Linked DNA regions of Canis lupus familiaris. The protein of the gene in region 3 purifies or fractionates together with the protein of the main gene of each other region. This does not show direct contact. Links are inferred from orthologs where the notes say so. Each region holds a gene or a part of one and is shown on either strand. Other genes may lie near its edges.

Region 1 (4,108 bases), on a different chromosome or scaffold from region 3:
GACGGAGTGAAGTGGGTAGGTACTGCGAGAGGTTCTTGGCCATAGTCCCTGTCGCTCACTTTCTATTGGCCTTCTACACAGTTCTAATGGGTTAGGCGACATGGGGGTGAACTTTAACATCAACTCCAGCACTTGGGGGCCTTCCTAAGTATACTTTTCCACCTGCTAGGGATCCAATCCTGCTTACCTGATCTGCCACTTGCCGGCTCAGCTGTCCCTTAAAGCCCTTCATGCCCAGGAACTCCCCATCCTCTTCTTCAGCAGCAGCTGCATCAGCATCTACTTCTTCTTCACGCAGGCGCTGATGCAGTTCACCCATATCCTCAAAGCTGGAGCCTGAGGTATCATCCATGTTCTCCATGTCAATCACAGCTGAGCCCCCACCCTGTGAAGACAATGGCTTCTAGAGTGCAGGCCCTTTCTGTTCCATCCGCGGGTCCTCCTCCGTTCCTCCCAGGATTTGGGACTTTGTTCTTCCACTGCTGGGGATATGGCTTGGAATCACCATAGATCATACCACTCTCTTCCCCTCATCTGCTCTCAGAATCCTTGGTTGTCTGGCTCTCTTTTCTAGCCTGGGAAACCTACCCCCTGTCTTGCATATATGTCTTTCTTCTACCTTCCCTATCAAATCCTCAGAGGGCTGCAAAAGTGCCCGTTTTGTCTTTTCCAATCCCCAAACAAGGCTGTGCACACAGCATGGTTTTAGCCAGCGCCGGTGAATACCGCCCACTCCCTCGCCATGCCTGGCCCCGATCGACCAACAAACTTGTCTCGAAAGCAAGAGCAGGCAGGCCCAGAGGCACGAGGCCCTCTGGCTGGAGCACCAGTCTGGACCTTTGAGGTCAGCACCAGTCCCACTACCTTCCGTGTACACCAAGAGCCAAAGGAGAGGACAAGTGTTGCAAATGGAGCAGACTTCCAAGCTCCCAGGGAGAGTCCCCGCGACGCTTCAGGACGGCTGCCGGCCCTGCGGCTGCCGGCAGCCGGAGCCCTGGGGCGATTACCTGGATGTTTTCTTCGAACCCTCCCCATTCCGGGCCGGCCCCGCTTCGGGCGCCGCCAGCCGGCGCCGCCGTAGTTGCCATGTCCCTCGAGGGCTCCCGTCGCTGAAGCCCGCGCTAGTCCCGCGCGCGGAGGAGGAGTGGGAGAGACGTGGGCCTGAAGGAGGGAGATGTCTAGGGGCGAAAAAGAGCGGTGGGTTCAGCCGGAACGCAAAAAGGAGAAACCCGGATGTTTGGCCCAAACCGACTTCCGGAAGCTGGGGACGTGGACGGAGGCTGCACAGAATCTCGCGATATTTAACATCCCGGGAGGCGGTGCGTTGCCATGGAGACGAAGGAGGGCGACTGGGACGCGCGCGCCAGTTTGCTGCCCTAGTCACGTGGAGGGGTAGAAGATGGCGGCCGCCCAGGCGGTGCAAGAGATGCGGACCCGCGTGGTTCTAGGGGAGTTCGGGGTTCGCAATGTAAGCCCGTGGCCTTGAACTCGGCAAGAGAAATGAGAGTGGAACAGGAGGGATGAGTTGGGATCGGAGTTGGGGCGGGTTTGCCCTACCTGCCCCTTCGCAGACTCGTCTCTCTTTGGTCTAGGTTCATACCACCGACTTTCCCGGTAACTATTCCGGCTATGATGATGCCTGGGACCAAGACCGCTTCGAGAAGGTAGGTGGGGCTGGAGAGGGTATTGGGAACGGATCGTGTGATCTGAGCGGCCTGTGCTTTGGAAACTGCCCGTGGGATTCGCTGCGTTCATAAAACGTTTATTGAGCAATATGCTAGGCCCTCCGTGTACATGGTCTGTGCCCTGTTCGTCGAACAAGATGTTTAATCTTGTTGAAGAGCACGCATAAATGACTCCAGTATGATGTAAAGGTGGTTGGTAGCGATAAGAAAGGACAGTCGTGACTAGGGTGACCCCTGAGGGGCACTTAATCTGGAACGGAAAGCGGGGCAGCGGTATGGAAGATTTCCTTCCTGCAGGAGATGACATCTGAATTGAGCCCTGAACGATGAGTAAAATCTGAGAAAGGGTAAGGGTGAAGGTGGGGGGACGAAGACTAGAAGCTACATTATAAAGGCTTTGTGAACTGTGTTCCAAGAACGTCCAGTTTATTATTGCTAGAATGTAAAGTCGGGCAGCATGAGTGCTAGGCAAGATTGAAGTGCATCTTAGACACTGTAGGTGATAGGGGAAGTTTTGAAGAGCTCTGAGCCAGATGTGATCTGATTTGCATCCTTAACTGTTGGGAAAGATCATAGAGGGTAGTCAGATTTGTGACAGAATTGCATAGAGGAGCTGAGGTTGAAGGTATGAACTAAAATGATAATCAGGAAAGTAGAGCAAAAAGGAGACATGATAAATTTGGTGACTGTTTTGATGTGGGCTGTGAGGAGGGAGTATAAAATAACCTACCTTGAGGAACTGCTTTAATGGATGGTGGTGCCATTTACTGATGAAAAATAGGTCTGGGGAAGGGGAATGATGCTGCATTGTTTCCTGAATGTGAGGTCTAGCAGGCCAGTAAAATGTGTGTTTGAAAGGAGATGAGAAGTGAGAATTTGGGAGTTTTCTGTATATATAGTTGTTAAACCCATGAGCGTGATTGAGGTCACTTTGGAGAGAGATAAAAATCCAGAAAATAGTGACTTTATGGAGTGGGTAGGAGATAGTGAATTTAGAAGGATTCATTGGAGGAGAAAGAACCAGAAGATTGGTGCTCAGAAACCAAGGCAGAGTTGGAAAATGGAGGGATTCTATCAATGCCCGATGGAGGAGTCTAGTAAGAAAGGACAGAGTAGAATGGTCTCTGTGGGTGGTCTGGTTGGAGGATTTAAATGAATAGAGGATAAAAATGGGAACTTTTCAAGAAGTTCATGAAGAATTGGGGGAGAAGGGAACAGCTATGAGGTACATCTGGCCAAAGGGAGGTTCTTGGGTGAGTGGGAACATTGTTGCTGGGGCTGGGGGATATCCAGAGGGACGGTATTGATTCCACAGAGGCCAAGGCTTCATTTAGTGCATTTTCTGTCCCTGTAGAATTTCCGTGTGGATGTAGTGCACATGGATGAAAACTCATTGGAGTTCGACATGGTGGGAATTGATGCAGCCATTGCCAATGCTTTTCGACGCATTTTATTAGCTGAGGTATTTATTGGTGGGCATGGTGGCAGGGACGGAGTTGGGTGGAAACTGAGCCATCACCTTACTTGGAGAATTCTTAGGTTGCTCCTTTCATTTTCCTGAGCATTCCTCCTGAACTTTTCATCAGGTGTTTTTCTGGGAATAGGGCCCCCTGTGTCAGGAAGTAGGAGTAAATAGGGAGTCTGTAGGGTCTCTGTAGATGAATGATTTTATTTTTTGGGCAGGTGCCAACCATGGCTGTGGAAAAGGTCCTGGTGTACAACAACACATCCATTGTCCAGGATGAGATCCTTGCTCATCGCTTGGGGCTTATTCCCATTCATGCTGATCCTCGTCTTTTTGAGTATCGGAACCAAGGTCAGCGCTTGAGAAAACGAAATTGTGGCAAAATGGGAACAGCTGTCTCCTAAAGTAGATTCTAGAGGATCTACTGCCTACGTTCAAATCCTGGCTTGATTACTGTGACCATGAGCAAATCACTAATGTTTTGGTACATCAGTTCTGATCTGTGTGAACACTTGCCCTGGTCTTCTGAAATTGGAAATTTGTCCGAGGAGTAAATGAGAAGTGTAGATTAATGCACTCAAATACTCAGTCGTTCTTTAAGAGCTGCCACTTTCATCCTTTGTTCAGGGGATGATGAAGGCACAGAGATAGATACTCTGCAGTTTCGGCTTCAAGTCAGGTGCACACGGAACCCCCATGCTGCTAAAGATTCCTCTGACCCCAATGAACTCTATGTGAACCACAAAGGTGAGTGGTGGTATGGTGAGTAGGAAGGCCCACCTCTTGATGGGTACTAGTTTTAAGGATTGATGTTTTCCTGATGTGCTTTCTCCAGTGTACTCCAGGCACATGACATGGGTGCCCCTGGGGAATCAGGCTGACCTCTTCCCAGAGGGCACGATCAGACCCGTGCATGATGATATCCTCATTGCTCAGCTGAGGCCTGGCCAGGAGATTG
Region 2 (4,006 bases), on a different chromosome or scaffold from region 3:
TTGTCAACTTGACCCAAGTTGCGAAAGGGTGGGAGAGTGGGGTGCGGGGCGGCGGGGGCGCCGCGGAGGGGCGACTCGCCCGGCGCGGCGGGGCGCTGCCCAACGGCTTGCAGCCGCCCCCGCGCTCCCGCGTCCCCTGCCCCGCACTCCCCGCGGCTGTCACTCGGGCACTGGGCTCCGCAGCGCGGCGCCGCCCGCAAGTCGGAGCCCTCCCGGCCGCCTCTGAGCGGGCTCCACGCTCCGCGCTATATAACCCTCGCCCGGGAAGAGCCGGCAGCGGCATCGGCCCTCCCTCCGCTCGGCCCTCCCCGCCCCCGGGCGCACCCCGCCCCCGGCCCAGCCCCCCGCCCGCCGTCCGCCGAACCGCGGCGGGGCAGCCCCTCTCACATGGCCGTGGCCGCAGCCTCCAGCCCCCGTCGCGCCTCCCTTCGCAGCTCACGCCCCCTGCCGCAGGGTGTCCCGGCCTCCGCCTGCCGGGCCTGGCGGGCCGCAGTGCCCGGGCCATCCTCCTCCCGCCGTCGAGTCGGCGCTAGTCCCTATCTCGCCGCTGTGGTTGAGCAGCGGGACTCTGGACGGCCCCGCCTGCGATCAGGCGCTGAGGAAGACAGCCCCGCAGGCTGGCAGGAACCGAGACGAGGACCTCGGCAGCGCGGCCGCGGGGTGCCGGCTTGTGGCCAGCGATGGCAGACAGCCGGGAAGGGCCGTCAAAAGACAGGTCTCGGCCGCGACTTGGACTCGCAGCCAGCCCTGTGGAATGTGGGCCGAAAGGCTCTCATTTTCCCTGGCTGAACTCACCACCGCCGTGGTTGCCTACAGCCCCCGGTCGAGCGTCGCCCTCCGGCCGGGCGGGCGGTGAGAGTGCTGCATGCTGGGACTTGTAGTTCACGCCGGTGCGGCGTGTTATTTGCGTCCATCGCCGGGTGCACTTCGAGTCCGCGCAGCCTGGGGACTAGGACCCCGAGGAGTCAAGGTGTCAGCATTCTTTGCTCTTGTGATGCTGATTAAAGAGTCTAATCGGTGCACGCACTATCTCCTACGAATTTTGCCCGAAACTTGATCGCAAGAGGCAGACACAGGGAGCACCTAATTTTGTGTCTGCGAGAGTTCTCAGTTGCGAGTTCTTTTCTGGCTTATCCCGGGACACCTATGAGTTGTGGGGCTTCGCGCTTGTCGTCTTTAAGTGGGCAGCGCGCATGCGCCAACTTCCTCTTTTTCCGGCTGGAACCATGGAGGGTGCAGAGTAAGTTGCTCTTCGTCCGCTTGATAATCCTTCTCCATCCACGAAACTGGGGATTTTTTGTCTCGTTTTCCCTCGATCCGGCTGTAGCCTGTACCTTTACCCACTTGTCTGTGTGTTTGTGACGCTCTGTGACACTAGTGGGGGGGCGCCAGGCCAAGATGGGATGCAGGCGGCCTTGGGGCGGAGGTTTGGGATACCGGGAACGAGGGATGAGAGCCGAATAGGTGCGCGACCGGTGGGAGGCTCAGAACGCCTCAGTTGGGCTCATCGTTGCCTGGTATTTGGCCCGGTCGCCCCTGTCGTCAGGCCTTTGCTTTCAGCATGTGGGACTTCAGACCTGAATGAGGGCGGTGCTTGGGAGGTTTTCACAACGTCTTTTCCTGAGACTCCTAAGCTCTTCACGCGCAGACTCGGGAAGAGTCTAGGGGTAGATCGAGTCCTGCAGCAGGTTCCTCGGTCTCTGCCGTGCTGGCTCTAACTGGGAGCCCGGGACTGACCGTGCATTCGCTGGGAGTGTGCTGTAGTCTCGGAGGGCCTCGTGTTGAAAGGCCGAGGATCCCTGGCCTAGAACCCCGCCGAAGTCTGCATCCTGCAGCACAGCACGTTGGAGAAGCTAAAGGGGCGAGGTTGTAGAGCCAGTGACGGCGGTATGGCTCGATGACCAAGCTCGGGACGGACGCGCAGCGGTGCGGGGTCGTGCGTGTGCTGTTGGAGCTGTTGGTCAGTTTGTGTTCACTGATGCCAGAGAGAAGAAGAAGAAGGTTCCTGCTGTGCCGGAAACCCTTAAGAAAAAGCGAAGGAACTTCGCGGAGTTGAAGATCAAGCGTCTGAGAAAAAAGTTTGCCCAAAAGATGGTAAGTCAACTTGTGGGGCACCTCTCCGTGTAAAGAGAGGCCTTGGGGTTGGGATTGAAAATCGGGCTTCCTTCTCAGCGAGGCTTCTTTACCCCCCCCGGGTACCAGTGAGCTTGGGCGTTAGTATTAGCTCTTCAGAGCGACAGTAAATGAAGGTGGTGGTGTCTGTGCTTGGAAATAATTCATGCACCCTACAGCAAGGAAGAGGTTTCAGGGGAACGTTTTTTTCCCTCTGTAGAACTGGTGTTGGCAATAAAGAGGACCGCTAAGGAACTGGTCCTTAGGTGTTAAGGGCTAATGGTGTTGAGTTAAAAATCGGGGGAATAACTGGTCTTGGTTTCCAGCTTCGAAAGGCAAGGAGGAAGCTTATCTATGAAAAGGCTAAGCATTACCACAAGGAATACAGGCAGATGTACAGAACTGAGATTCGCATGGCGAGGATGGCGAGAAAAGCCGGCAACTTCTACGTGCCTGCAGAACCCAAGTTGGCATTTGTCATCAGGATCAGAGGGTAAGTTGGGTTTTAACTGCATCCTGGTTTCGAAGGGAAGTCTACAGGGTCTCAGCAGAACTTCGTAACTTCTGGGGCCGTTGTTTCTGAAACACTAGAATAAAGATTTTGGTGTCGCTAGGACATGAGGTGGTGTTTTGATGGTTTTGTTGTGCAAGCCCTGGGCCCAAAGCCCTTATCTGTTCTCTAACTGGGTATTTGAATTTTAATTCAAAAGAGGCTAAAGTAGGTGGCTCAAAGGTTTAGTGCTGCCTTCAGCCCAGGGTGTGATCCTGGAGTCCCAGGATTGAGTCCCACATCAGGCTCCCTGCATGGAGCCTGCTTCTCCCTCTGCCTGTGTCTCTGCCCCTCTCTCTCTCTCTCTCTCTCTCTCTGTGTGTGTGTGTCTCATGAATAAATAAATAAAATCTTTTAAAATAGAGGCTAAAGTGTAGGTTCATAGGTACTCTTGTATCCAAAACAAGGAAATGAGACAAGTTTTAAATGTCAAAAGGTACGTGTTAACAGAAAGCCTGCTTGTTGTGGAAGAGGCAGGTTGGGTCAGGGGATAGAATAGTTCAGCTAACTAAAGGAAAAACGCCAATGGTCTTCGTAATGTGAAAAGAGTCTTGTTTAGATGGGACTTGAGTTGTCCGAAATTTATAATGGTTAATTCCTCGTTTATTAATATAAATTCTGATAAAGCTCAGTGAATTCTTTTTTTTCGCTGCAGTATCAATGGTGTGAGCCCAAAGGTTCGAAAGGTGTTGCAGCTTCTTCGCCTTCGCCAGATCTTCAATGGCACCTTTGTTAAGCTCAACAAGGCTTCAGTTAACATGCTAAGGATTGTGGAACCGTATATAGCATGGGGGTAAGTCTCTTTTCCCGTGAGTTCTTTCTGAACTGGCTGTGTTAGCAAGATGGGTTTTAAGTATTCTAATGGTGATAACCTTTGGCCATTTATGTCTGGTTTTTCCCGTTTCAGGTACCCAAACCTGAAGTCAGTGAATGAATTGATCTACAAGCGTGGTTATGGCAAGATCAACAAGAAGCGAATTGCCCTGACAGATAACACATTGATTGCTCGGTCTCTTGGTAAGTTCTGCCTGTTTGAGGTGAAATTTGATCTTTGAGACAAAGTTGGCATTTTCTGGCACTTTGTGGCCTTACGTTCTGTTATGAATCTTAGCCATATGCCCTACAATGCACAAGTCTATGGAAAATGTAAGTTATGATTTCAGTGGGTCAAGCTTTATCTTGGTAAATGTAGCCATGTATTTCCCTTTTGTTTCTTTACTCTTGATTTAAAGTCTCTCAGACAGTAGTTGTTGTTGCTGAATATCCTAACATAATCTGTGAAAACAGCTAACGATTTTAATGATCTTAAAATATTCAGGTAAATATGGCATCATCTGCATGGAG
Region 3 (4,263 bases):
AGGGGATTCCTGGGTGGCTCAGTGGTTTAGCGCCTGCCTTTGGCCCAGGGCGTGATCCCGGCGTGGAGCCTGCTTCTCCCTCTGCCTGTGTCTCTGCCTCTCTCTCTCTCTCTCTGTGTGTTTGTGTGTCTATCATGAATAAATAAATTTTAAAAATCTTAAAAAAAAAAAAAAAAAGAATTGCAAAGTAACTGGATGGTTCACAAGAATATCCGTGAGCCCCTGTTAAAACACAAAATCCCCGTCCCCAACCCAAACCTCTTGAATTAGAATCTCCACGGAGGAGCCTCTAAACAACAGTTCAATTGTGGAAATATACTGATAGCTGAAGGGATCCTGGTTTTGTAGAAACATGGTAGGTACTGGATGTCCAGGTTATGTCGCAGGCGGGCTCTGTACCGAAGGAAGTGCTCTGGGATGTTCGGCACTAACAAGTTTGCCCACAATGACCCATCAAAATAACTGGCAAAAGCAAAAGGCAAAGGCCCTTCTGTGCCTCCGCCATTGAGGGCACCTTTCCTTTGGCTCTTGGGACCCTTAGGTGACACGGAACCCTCCTCAGTCAGCACACCTTAAGGTATGCTTTAGTCCCAAAAAACAAAAAGGGAACTTGCGCGGCCAATGGGTCGGTGTTTGGCCTGACCAAGTTCCTCCCCCCGCCGCCGTTGTAACACCCGGTGACCACCAGAAAGTTATTCCTCCGGGCCTGTTCCTCGTTGGGACAAAAACCTAGCGCATGAGGTGGCTGGACATTAAATGTGGCGTTTGTGCAGCGCTCACAGACATCCGCGACCGTCTTTATTAACAGCCCTCAGGAGGCAGCTTCGGACACGTGGCCCGAAAGAGAACCACCTGCAGACGGCGCGGGGGGGGGGGGGGGGGGCGGAGGCGGGCCTCCAACCCGGGCGCTTTGAACCTCACGGTCCCCGAATTTCCGGAGGTCTCGGGCTCATCCGCGGAGGGAGAAGCGGGCGAACACTTTCTCCTCGGCCGCCGGGCGGCTCGGCGTGGAGAGCGGGTCGGAGCCGCGCGTAGGGCCGCCTGGCATCTGCAAGGCCTCCGGCGTCGACAGCACCCTGGACACTTTCGGGAACCGGAGACCACCAGTACCCAGCCTCCCGGGGCTCGGGAACAAGCGGCGCCAAAAACGGCCGTCTTACCGCGCAGGCGTCGCGAGCGCGGGCCGCGGAGGGGCACTTCAGGAACCGCGCGCCCACTACCCAATCAGCGCGGGCCCTGCACAAAGCGAGTCCCGCCCCCAGGGCGCCGCCACCGAATCCCCTCCCCCTCCCCTGCCCGCTTCGGCCCGCCCACTCCCGCCTGCGCCCCGCCCCGCGCCGTTCTTGGGTAGAGGCTCGCGATTGGCCCACGGGATGGGCGCAGCCTCTGATTGGTCGAGACGGAGTCACGAGGGCGCCGTCGTCGCCTTTCCAGAGGCGATTACTGGGCAGGCTCAGTCTTTCGCCTCAGTCTCGAGCTCTAGCGAGCAGCCAAGCGTACGCGCTCCGGGAACCTCTCGTACCCGCGGCCGCCATCGACGTCGCTTGGATTCTTCTGGGCTCGTCTGCGCCACTCGCCCGCCACACACTCCGCCGGCATAAGCCGCCATCATGGTGAAGCTCGCAAAGGTAAGAAGACGGCTTGCGCAAGCATGGACGTCGAGGCCTGCTTTCTGAGGAGCGCGCGCGCGGCGCCGCGAGGAGGAGGGCCTGCGCGCCGTCCCGGGCGCGTTCGAGGGCGCCATGCTGCGGGAAATCTCGCGCGATCGGCGGGGAGGTCTCGCGGCTTTTGGCTATTTGGTAGCGAGGTGAAGAGCTTCGGCAGGTTCCGCGGGTGGTTGGTGCGGCGCCGAAAGACTTAGGGACTGAGTGGGGAGGGGGCGCTGGGCCTCGGGGTGGAGGGATGATGCCGAACTCCTGCGACGGGCCCAAGCGGGGCCCCGCCTCCTGACGCACGTGCCTCAGCGCGCTGCCCGCCACGTGGGCCGCGCCGCGTGTGTCCCGGCGTCTGCGGAGGGGACTTGGAGGGGAGGCGGGGGGCTGCGGGATGGTTTCAGATGGAGGCCCCGTGGCCTGTGGGCCCCGGCCAGACAAGCGGGCGCGAGGTGGGCTTCAGGAGGAGGCCTTGCCTCGTGCTTTCTGCGCCCTGCTGCGCGCACATGGTGACCTACGGGGTATCCCCACGTGGCTCTGCCTGGTCTGGAAGGGGCGGGGTTTTTTTCCACGGGAAAGAACTTAATGGGGAGACCAAAGGTAGTAAGATTAAGGTCTGATTTTCTTTTATAAAAGTTGTCTTGAAGATCCTGCCCCCAAATTTGGATTCAGGCGACTGTGTAAGATCTGGTGCTAGAATTTACCAAAAGCTTTTTTTTCTCCCCCCCAGGTGTGGTTCTCCGCCCCCGGTGAAGGGCTATGAATTGTTGGCCGTTAAAATTGGCCAGTTGTAGTCTATTAAAATCATGCGTGATGTAATGGTCGGTTTTGGAAGTATCGTTTTAAAAACGGATGTGCTTAACGAAGGCAAAAGGAGGAGGGAGATAATATTGTTGTAGTTGCATTTTTATCCTTGAGTTTCTGTAAAACCTGACAGGAGTAATGGGGTGGGGGTTGGCAGTTGCTGTTTTGACGTTGGCTTCGATAGTGTTCATGTTAATTTTTATATCTAGCATTAGGAAATGTGGACTTTATGTAGGGAGACGGCTGCTTTTTACTCTGAAGAATGATGGCATAATATGAACGGTCAGATGTTTTAGGTGTAATGTGCTAAATGTCTATTTTAGGCTGGTAAAAATCAAAGTGACCCCAAGAAAATGGCTCCTCCCCCAAAGGAGGTAGAAGAAGACAGTGAAGATGAGGAAATGTCAGAAGATGAAGATGATGACAGCAGCGGAGAAGAGGTAATTATATACAACTTTATGGAGACGTGTGTTAAACTATGAAATGGAGAGCTGAAATAGCTGATACTGGATGTATGAAAATATTGGCAAAAATAAGATTATATTCATTGAGTATGGCCTGCTGAGACTGTTTTCCAAGCTCTTCATTAACATGTTGATATAGGTAAGTATTTGAATTTGAGAGAAAAAATTGGGAGTCCTTTTTTCATGTGCATTTTTTGTAGGGCTTGGTGTTATATTTGTGTTCAGCCATGACATTTTTCTAGTTTGAGTATGTTAACCCCCACCTTACTAGATAAACAAACAGCCTGGACTATTAACTGTTAAGTAAGTGGCACTCCTGTGCATTTATTCAGGTCTGAGGTTAGCTTTACCAGATTACTTTCCTAGCCTCCAAGCAGGATTGATTTGTCTCTCATTGTATAAGAGCATCGTGATACTGGTTACTGAACATCTTGGTGTGGGTTGAGCGTTGCCACCTCACTTTGTGTTAACCTATTACTGTTTGCTTACTGTAAAGACAACTATTGTATTTGTGTTTAGATTTCTTGTTTAGGATGTAATGAATATTTTACTGATGATATGGTACCCAGTAAAACTAGGAGTGAGCAAAAAAGTATAATTTTAATGTAGATGAACGATGGTTTTTATCAGGTTTAAGGTGCTTACTCTTTACTAAACTTAGGAAGAGCTAACTATCCAGTGTATTTGATACTCATTTACTGGTCTTAAGAACAAGCCTTCAATGAACCACTGCCCACTGTAGGACCTCTGAATGATTCAGTAGCATCTAACAAGTAGAGCTTTCTTTGTGCAAGACTTCTAATTACATATATATGTCAACTCCTAATCTAACAATATGTAAGGTTGGTGCTGTTATCCCTTACAGAGGAGAAAAAAAGTCGAGGCTTAAAATTTTCTTAAAGCCTGTTTTAAAGTTGCAGTTATAATGTGTGAGGTATTTTAGCTGTTAAAAAGGGGCTCTATATGCTTGAGTATTTTACCTGAAGATGAAGGCTGTGATTTCTGGCACATGGTTCTGTAGTTTAGCATGCTAACATAACATCCAGTGCATGTGGGTCTGAAACCAGAACAGTGTTAGAATTTAGTCTCATTCATGGGACCAAGGCTGTCTTTTTGGGTTTGGAAGAAGACTTACCTTTGGTTTTATTTGTTCTTTAGGTTGTTATTCCTCAGAAAAAAGGAAAAAAGGCTACCACAACTCCAGCAAAGAAGGTAATGGTTTCCCCAACAAAAAAAGTCGCAGTTGCCACACCAGCCAAGAAAGCAGTTGTCACCCCTGGCAAAAAGGCAGCAGCTACACCAGCCAAAAAGGCGGTTGCACCAGCCAAAGCAGTAGCAACACC
Region 4 (3,940 bases), on a different chromosome or scaffold from region 3:
GTTTAGATCACAGCTCAGTTCCTGTAGAAAACGAACTGTAAAACTATCTGAAGACCATGCAAGAGGCAAAATAAAACTTGAAGTGAATGTGGTGTGGTGGTGTACTGTGTAAACCTACTTGTTTCTTCCTGGTGGTACCTTTTCTCCTGGCTTTCATGCCTCATCTACAAGCAAATATTCTCCACAGCTGTTCCAAGTTAGGGGCTGCACCTTCCCATTCTCATCACCAGTAAAAGACTTCCAAATTTTCCCCAAGGCAAGGTAAAATATAAAAGTAATTCTTGGCCAAGCCACCCTCTTCCCACAGTTAATAGCTTGGGTGTGAGTTAGGGCAGCTAGTTTAAATGAGTTCCCTGTATCTAGTGGAATAAGGAACAGTTTCACAGTTTATCGGGTTCTTTGGTCAAAAGGTGAATGATGGGGGTTGCGGGGAGTTGCCCAAACTATGTGACCGAGGAGTCTAAGGTGGGAGGATGTTCTGGATTGATTCAGAATTACAAACTCCAAAACGTCTGCTAGGAAGAGCAGCCCCAAATCTGAGATGATGTCCGTCAGCATCCAGCCAGCACCTGAAGCTCAAAGATAGGCCTTCTGGGTAGTAACCTTAAGATGTTAGATTAGGAAGAGGACCGAGTGGTTCCATAGTTCCAAGAGAAAATACCATAGCTGAAAAGTCTTTCAGGATCCTCAGCTCTAGGAGCAAAGGCAAATAGCATATTTTTTATGCTTTTACAAGAAAAACGCAGTCCTGGGGGATGCCTGGGTGACTCAGCGGTTGAGCCTCTGCCTTTGGCCCAGGGCGTGATCCTGGAGTCCTGGGATCGAGTCCCACCCACATCGGGCTCCCTGCATGGAGCCTGCCTCTCCCTCTGCCTGAATCTCTGTCTCTCTGTGTGTCTCTCATGAATAAAATAAATACTTAAAGAACCGCTGCCCTGAAATTCGCCTTTACGAGGCGGGTGTTGGAAGGGATTCCACTTTTCTACTTTGGAAATAATAACGAACGCTTACCCTGGAGTGGAGACAGCAGAGGCTGCGAAGAGCTAGAGAAAATGGAGGCTGGAGCCACTCCATGACCACTCGAGAGCCGTAGTCATGGAAATAAGGATATTAACATGAAAAAGATCCACTGCTGTTACTTTCCTGCAGTCCTAACAGAAGTCTGACCGGGGGCCGCGCGAGCTCCCAGGCGAGGCAGCCTAGCACTGGTTGCGCCTCGGTCCCTCCCCTCAAGCCCAGCGGCTCCTTTAATGGGCGGGGCCGGAACCCGCCGCGAGCTCCCCGCTCTGTACGTGTCGGGGGCGGAGCTCCCAGACGGCCCTTGCAGCATGGCCGCCGGCGCCGCGGCCGCTTTGGCGTTCCTGAGTCAGGAGAGCCGAGTCCGGGCCGGGGGAGTCGGGGGTCTGCGGGTCCCGGCTCCGGTCACTATGGACAGTTTTTTCTTCGGTATTGAGGAAAAGAGGGCATGAGGGTGGTGCTGGGGCGGCCAGGGGCAGGGCTGAACAGGAATGCAGATGGGAACACGACGTGGGTGGGGGCGGAGGGGGCCCGCACGCGCAGCCCAAGCAGACGGGGTGGCGCGACCCCTGCAGCACATGTGCGGGGTGGAGTCCAGGGCCGAGCGCCCTAGGTGTTCTCGAGGAGAAGCGGGCGCGTAGGCGGCCGCTCGGACCACGACTGCACGTTCAGAGGTTTGGTGGAACGCCCCTCACGCACACTCAGACACACACCGTTCCCTCTTCCAGGCTGTGAGCTCTCCGGCCACACCCGCTCTTTCACCTTCAAGGTAGAGGAAGAGGATGATGCGGAGCATGTGCTGGCCTTGACCATGGTGAGGTTTGCTGGGAAGGGTGGTGAATAGCTGGTCCTGAGCAGGCACCTCGGGGGCCTCTACCTGTCCCCCCAGTCCCCTTTACTGAGAGTCACCTCCTCTGCCTGACAGAGGCAGCTTCTCTTGCGAGGTGACTTTCATGTCTTTCATGCCTCATCTACAAGCAAGTATTCTCCACAGCTGTTCCAAGTTAGGGGCTGCACCTTCCCATTCTCATCACCAGTAACGGACCGCTTGGGCGGGGCAAGTTCTAGGGTAGATGCCTCCCCTTGTGTCAGCCCTTGTTTGGGGAGACCCTAAGGCCTTGTGTACTCTTTCCAGCTCTGCCTCACCGAGGGGGCCAAAGATGAGTGTAACGTAGTAGAAGTCGTGGCCAGGAATCACGACCACCAGGAGATTGCGGTCCCTGTGGCCAACCTCAAGTTGTCCTGCCAACCCATGGTGAGTTCTGCCCAACCAGGTGATGGAGGTGGTGGTGTGGAATCCAGGACTGAAGGACTGACAGACTGATTCATCACAAGATGGGGCAGGCCAGGCCTTCATCCTTGTCTTCCTTCCAGCTCAGTTTGGATGACTTCCAGCTCCAGCCACCTGTCACCTTCCGCCTGAAGTCAGGTTCTGGTCCTGTGCGGATCACTGGGAGGCACCAGATTGGTGAGAGTCTTCTCCTTTGGATCTAGTGGATTCCTCATCAGGTCTCCCACCCCAGTCCACACTCCTACCCCATCCCAGCCATATCTCCTAGTGCAGCTCCCATATGGGCCGTACCGTCCACTGTCTTCAAGCCTACCTCCTGCATGAAACCTGCCCCAGTGTCTCCACCTCCACTAATGTGGTCTCCTTTGGCTCTCTGTCATCTTAGTATTGGAGGTTCTTCCCACCCAGGTCATCAGCTCTGGGAGGTCAGGGTCCCTGCAAGCTTAGCACCACAGGGCATGAATAAATGGCATTGGGGGTTGATGGGTGGGTTGGGGAGGCACCCCCCAGACATGACTTTTCGTTGCACCTCTTCCTTATGCTTATGTGTCCACCAGTTACTATAAGTAATGACGTTTCTGAGGAAGAAGAGAGTGAAGAAGAAGGTAGTGAGGAGGAAGCTGAGTTGTGCCCCATCCTGCCTGCCAAGAAGCAGGGGGGTAGGCTCTAGCCTCTTTGGTGAGTTGTGGGAGGGGTGTCCAGCCAGGTCTGGGACGGGGTAGGACCAGCAGATGAAGGCCTAGATGCTGACCCCTTGTTTGCTCTCCTTAGGTCTGCTGTTTGCCTGCCACATGTGCCATGCACCATGTTCCTATACAAGTTTCAAGAAATTTAAATATGTCTTCTCCATTGAAGAGGAGGGGTGGGGATGGGGGGATCTTGAGCTGGTGCTAGGAGAGAGTCTGGTTGTATCCTTCACAGGACCCTGGTGTTTTTCTAATCTTATGCCATACCTGGGGCTTCCCTTTTCTCCATGAATGGGAGAAACTCTGAACTTCTATCCTCACCCTCTCTCCCCACTTGCCTATGAGATTGGAGATCAGCATTTGAAGCTCAGGACTACACATTTTTAATAACTTTTTACATTTTTGGATAAAGGCTTAAATAAAGTGATGTGGAGTTTTGCAACTCACTTGTGTGACTTCTTTACCTGCTAGTGTGGTATTCCCCTAGGGACCACCAGGTGGCACTGTGGCAGCACCGAGGGTGGCCCTAGGCCTGGGGAGGGTGAGGAAATACGGGATCCTGCTATCCCTAGGATAGCAGGGGGGGGGGGGGGGGGGGGGGGGGGGGGGGGGGGGAGGCCAGGCTCGGGCCCCAACTATCTTGCTAAAAGAGGACCTCCCAACACCAAGCCCATTCCCAGTCCCATAGGTGGGGGAGGGCCATCCCAGGAGGTTATCAGCATCCAAACAAGGGACCTGGGCCTCTGTCAGCACTCAGGCTGATGGGCAGGGGGGCAGATAAGGGGGCTTAAGTAGTCCGAGGAATGTGCATCCCTAACCCCATGAAGGGGCTCAGGCCCTGAGAGGGCCTGTGAGGGGTAAGGCAGAGGCCAGTCATTGCCCCTCCTTCGTCTTGCAGGCTGTCTCTGAGCGGGTCTGGGCCCTTAGAAACCTGATTCCGGGGGCC

Evidence for each region. Proteins that work in one complex are often made in the same cells at the same time.
Region 1: the proteins of NCL (region 3) and POLR1C purify together in Homo sapiens (affinity purification with mass spectrometry; 3 studies listed by BioGRID and IntAct, with this or other methods). This does not show direct contact. The link is inferred for Canis lupus familiaris from reciprocal best matches to the Homo sapiens genes NCL and POLR1C.
Region 2: the proteins of NCL (region 3) and RPL7 fractionate together in Homo sapiens (co-fractionation; 3 studies listed by BioGRID, with this or other methods). This does not show direct contact. The link is inferred for Canis lupus familiaris from reciprocal best matches to the Homo sapiens genes NCL and RPL7.
Region 4: the proteins of NCL (region 3) and NPM3 fractionate together in Homo sapiens (co-fractionation; 4 studies listed by BioGRID and IntAct, with this or other methods). This does not show direct contact. The link is inferred for Canis lupus familiaris from reciprocal best matches to the Homo sapiens genes NCL and NPM3.

What each region holds. Positions count from the first base shown.
Region 1 is NC_049233.1:12,166,440-12,170,547, forward strand, and holds the start of POLR1C (DNA-directed RNA polymerases I and III subunit RPAC1), read left to right. Parts: upstream 1-1,308; 5' UTR 1,309-1,399; coding exon 1,400-1,468; intron 1,469-1,592; coding exon 1,593-1,664; intron 1,665-3,039; coding exon 3,040-3,147; intron 3,148-3,368; coding exon 3,369-3,501; intron 3,502-3,777; coding exon 3,778-3,897; intron 3,898-3,985; coding exon 3,986-4,108. Other genes in the region: protein YIPF3, read right to left, coding at 188-385, 1,008-1,088. UniProt on the Homo sapiens protein: DNA-dependent RNA polymerase catalyzes the transcription of DNA into RNA using the four ribonucleoside triphosphates as substrates.
Region 2 is NC_049250.1:22,367,157-22,371,162, reverse strand, and holds the start of RPL7 (60S ribosomal protein L7), read left to right. Parts: upstream 1-1,206; 5' UTR 1,207-1,226; coding exon 1,227-1,240; intron 1,241-1,985; coding exon 1,986-2,094; intron 2,095-2,438; coding exon 2,439-2,605; intron 2,606-3,317; coding exon 3,318-3,455; intron 3,456-3,569; coding exon 3,570-3,679; intron 3,680-3,980; coding exon 3,981-4,006.
Region 3 is NC_049246.1:43,521,457-43,525,719, reverse strand, and holds the start of NCL (nucleolin), read left to right. Parts: upstream 1-1,463; 5' UTR 1,464-1,610; coding exon 1,611-1,628; intron 1,629-2,779; coding exon 2,780-2,896; intron 2,897-4,078; coding exon 4,079-4,263. UniProt on the Homo sapiens protein: Nucleolin is the major nucleolar protein of growing eukaryotic cells. It is found associated with intranucleolar chromatin and pre-ribosomal particles. It induces chromatin decondensation by binding to histone H1.
Region 4 is NC_049249.1:14,559,223-14,563,162, reverse strand, and holds NPM3 (nucleoplasmin-3), read left to right. Parts: upstream 1-1,284; 5' UTR 1,285-1,328; coding exon 1,329-1,446; intron 1,447-1,745; coding exon 1,746-1,831; intron 1,832-2,152; coding exon 2,153-2,272; intron 2,273-2,391; coding exon 2,392-2,485; intron 2,486-2,865; coding exon 2,866-2,978; 3' UTR 2,979-2,986; intron 2,987-3,079; 3' UTR 3,080-3,440; downstream 3,441-3,940. UniProt on the Homo sapiens protein: Plays a role in the regulation of diverse cellular processes such as ribosome biogenesis, chromatin remodeling or protein chaperoning. Modulates the histone chaperone function and the RNA-binding activity of nucleolar phosphoprotein B23/NPM.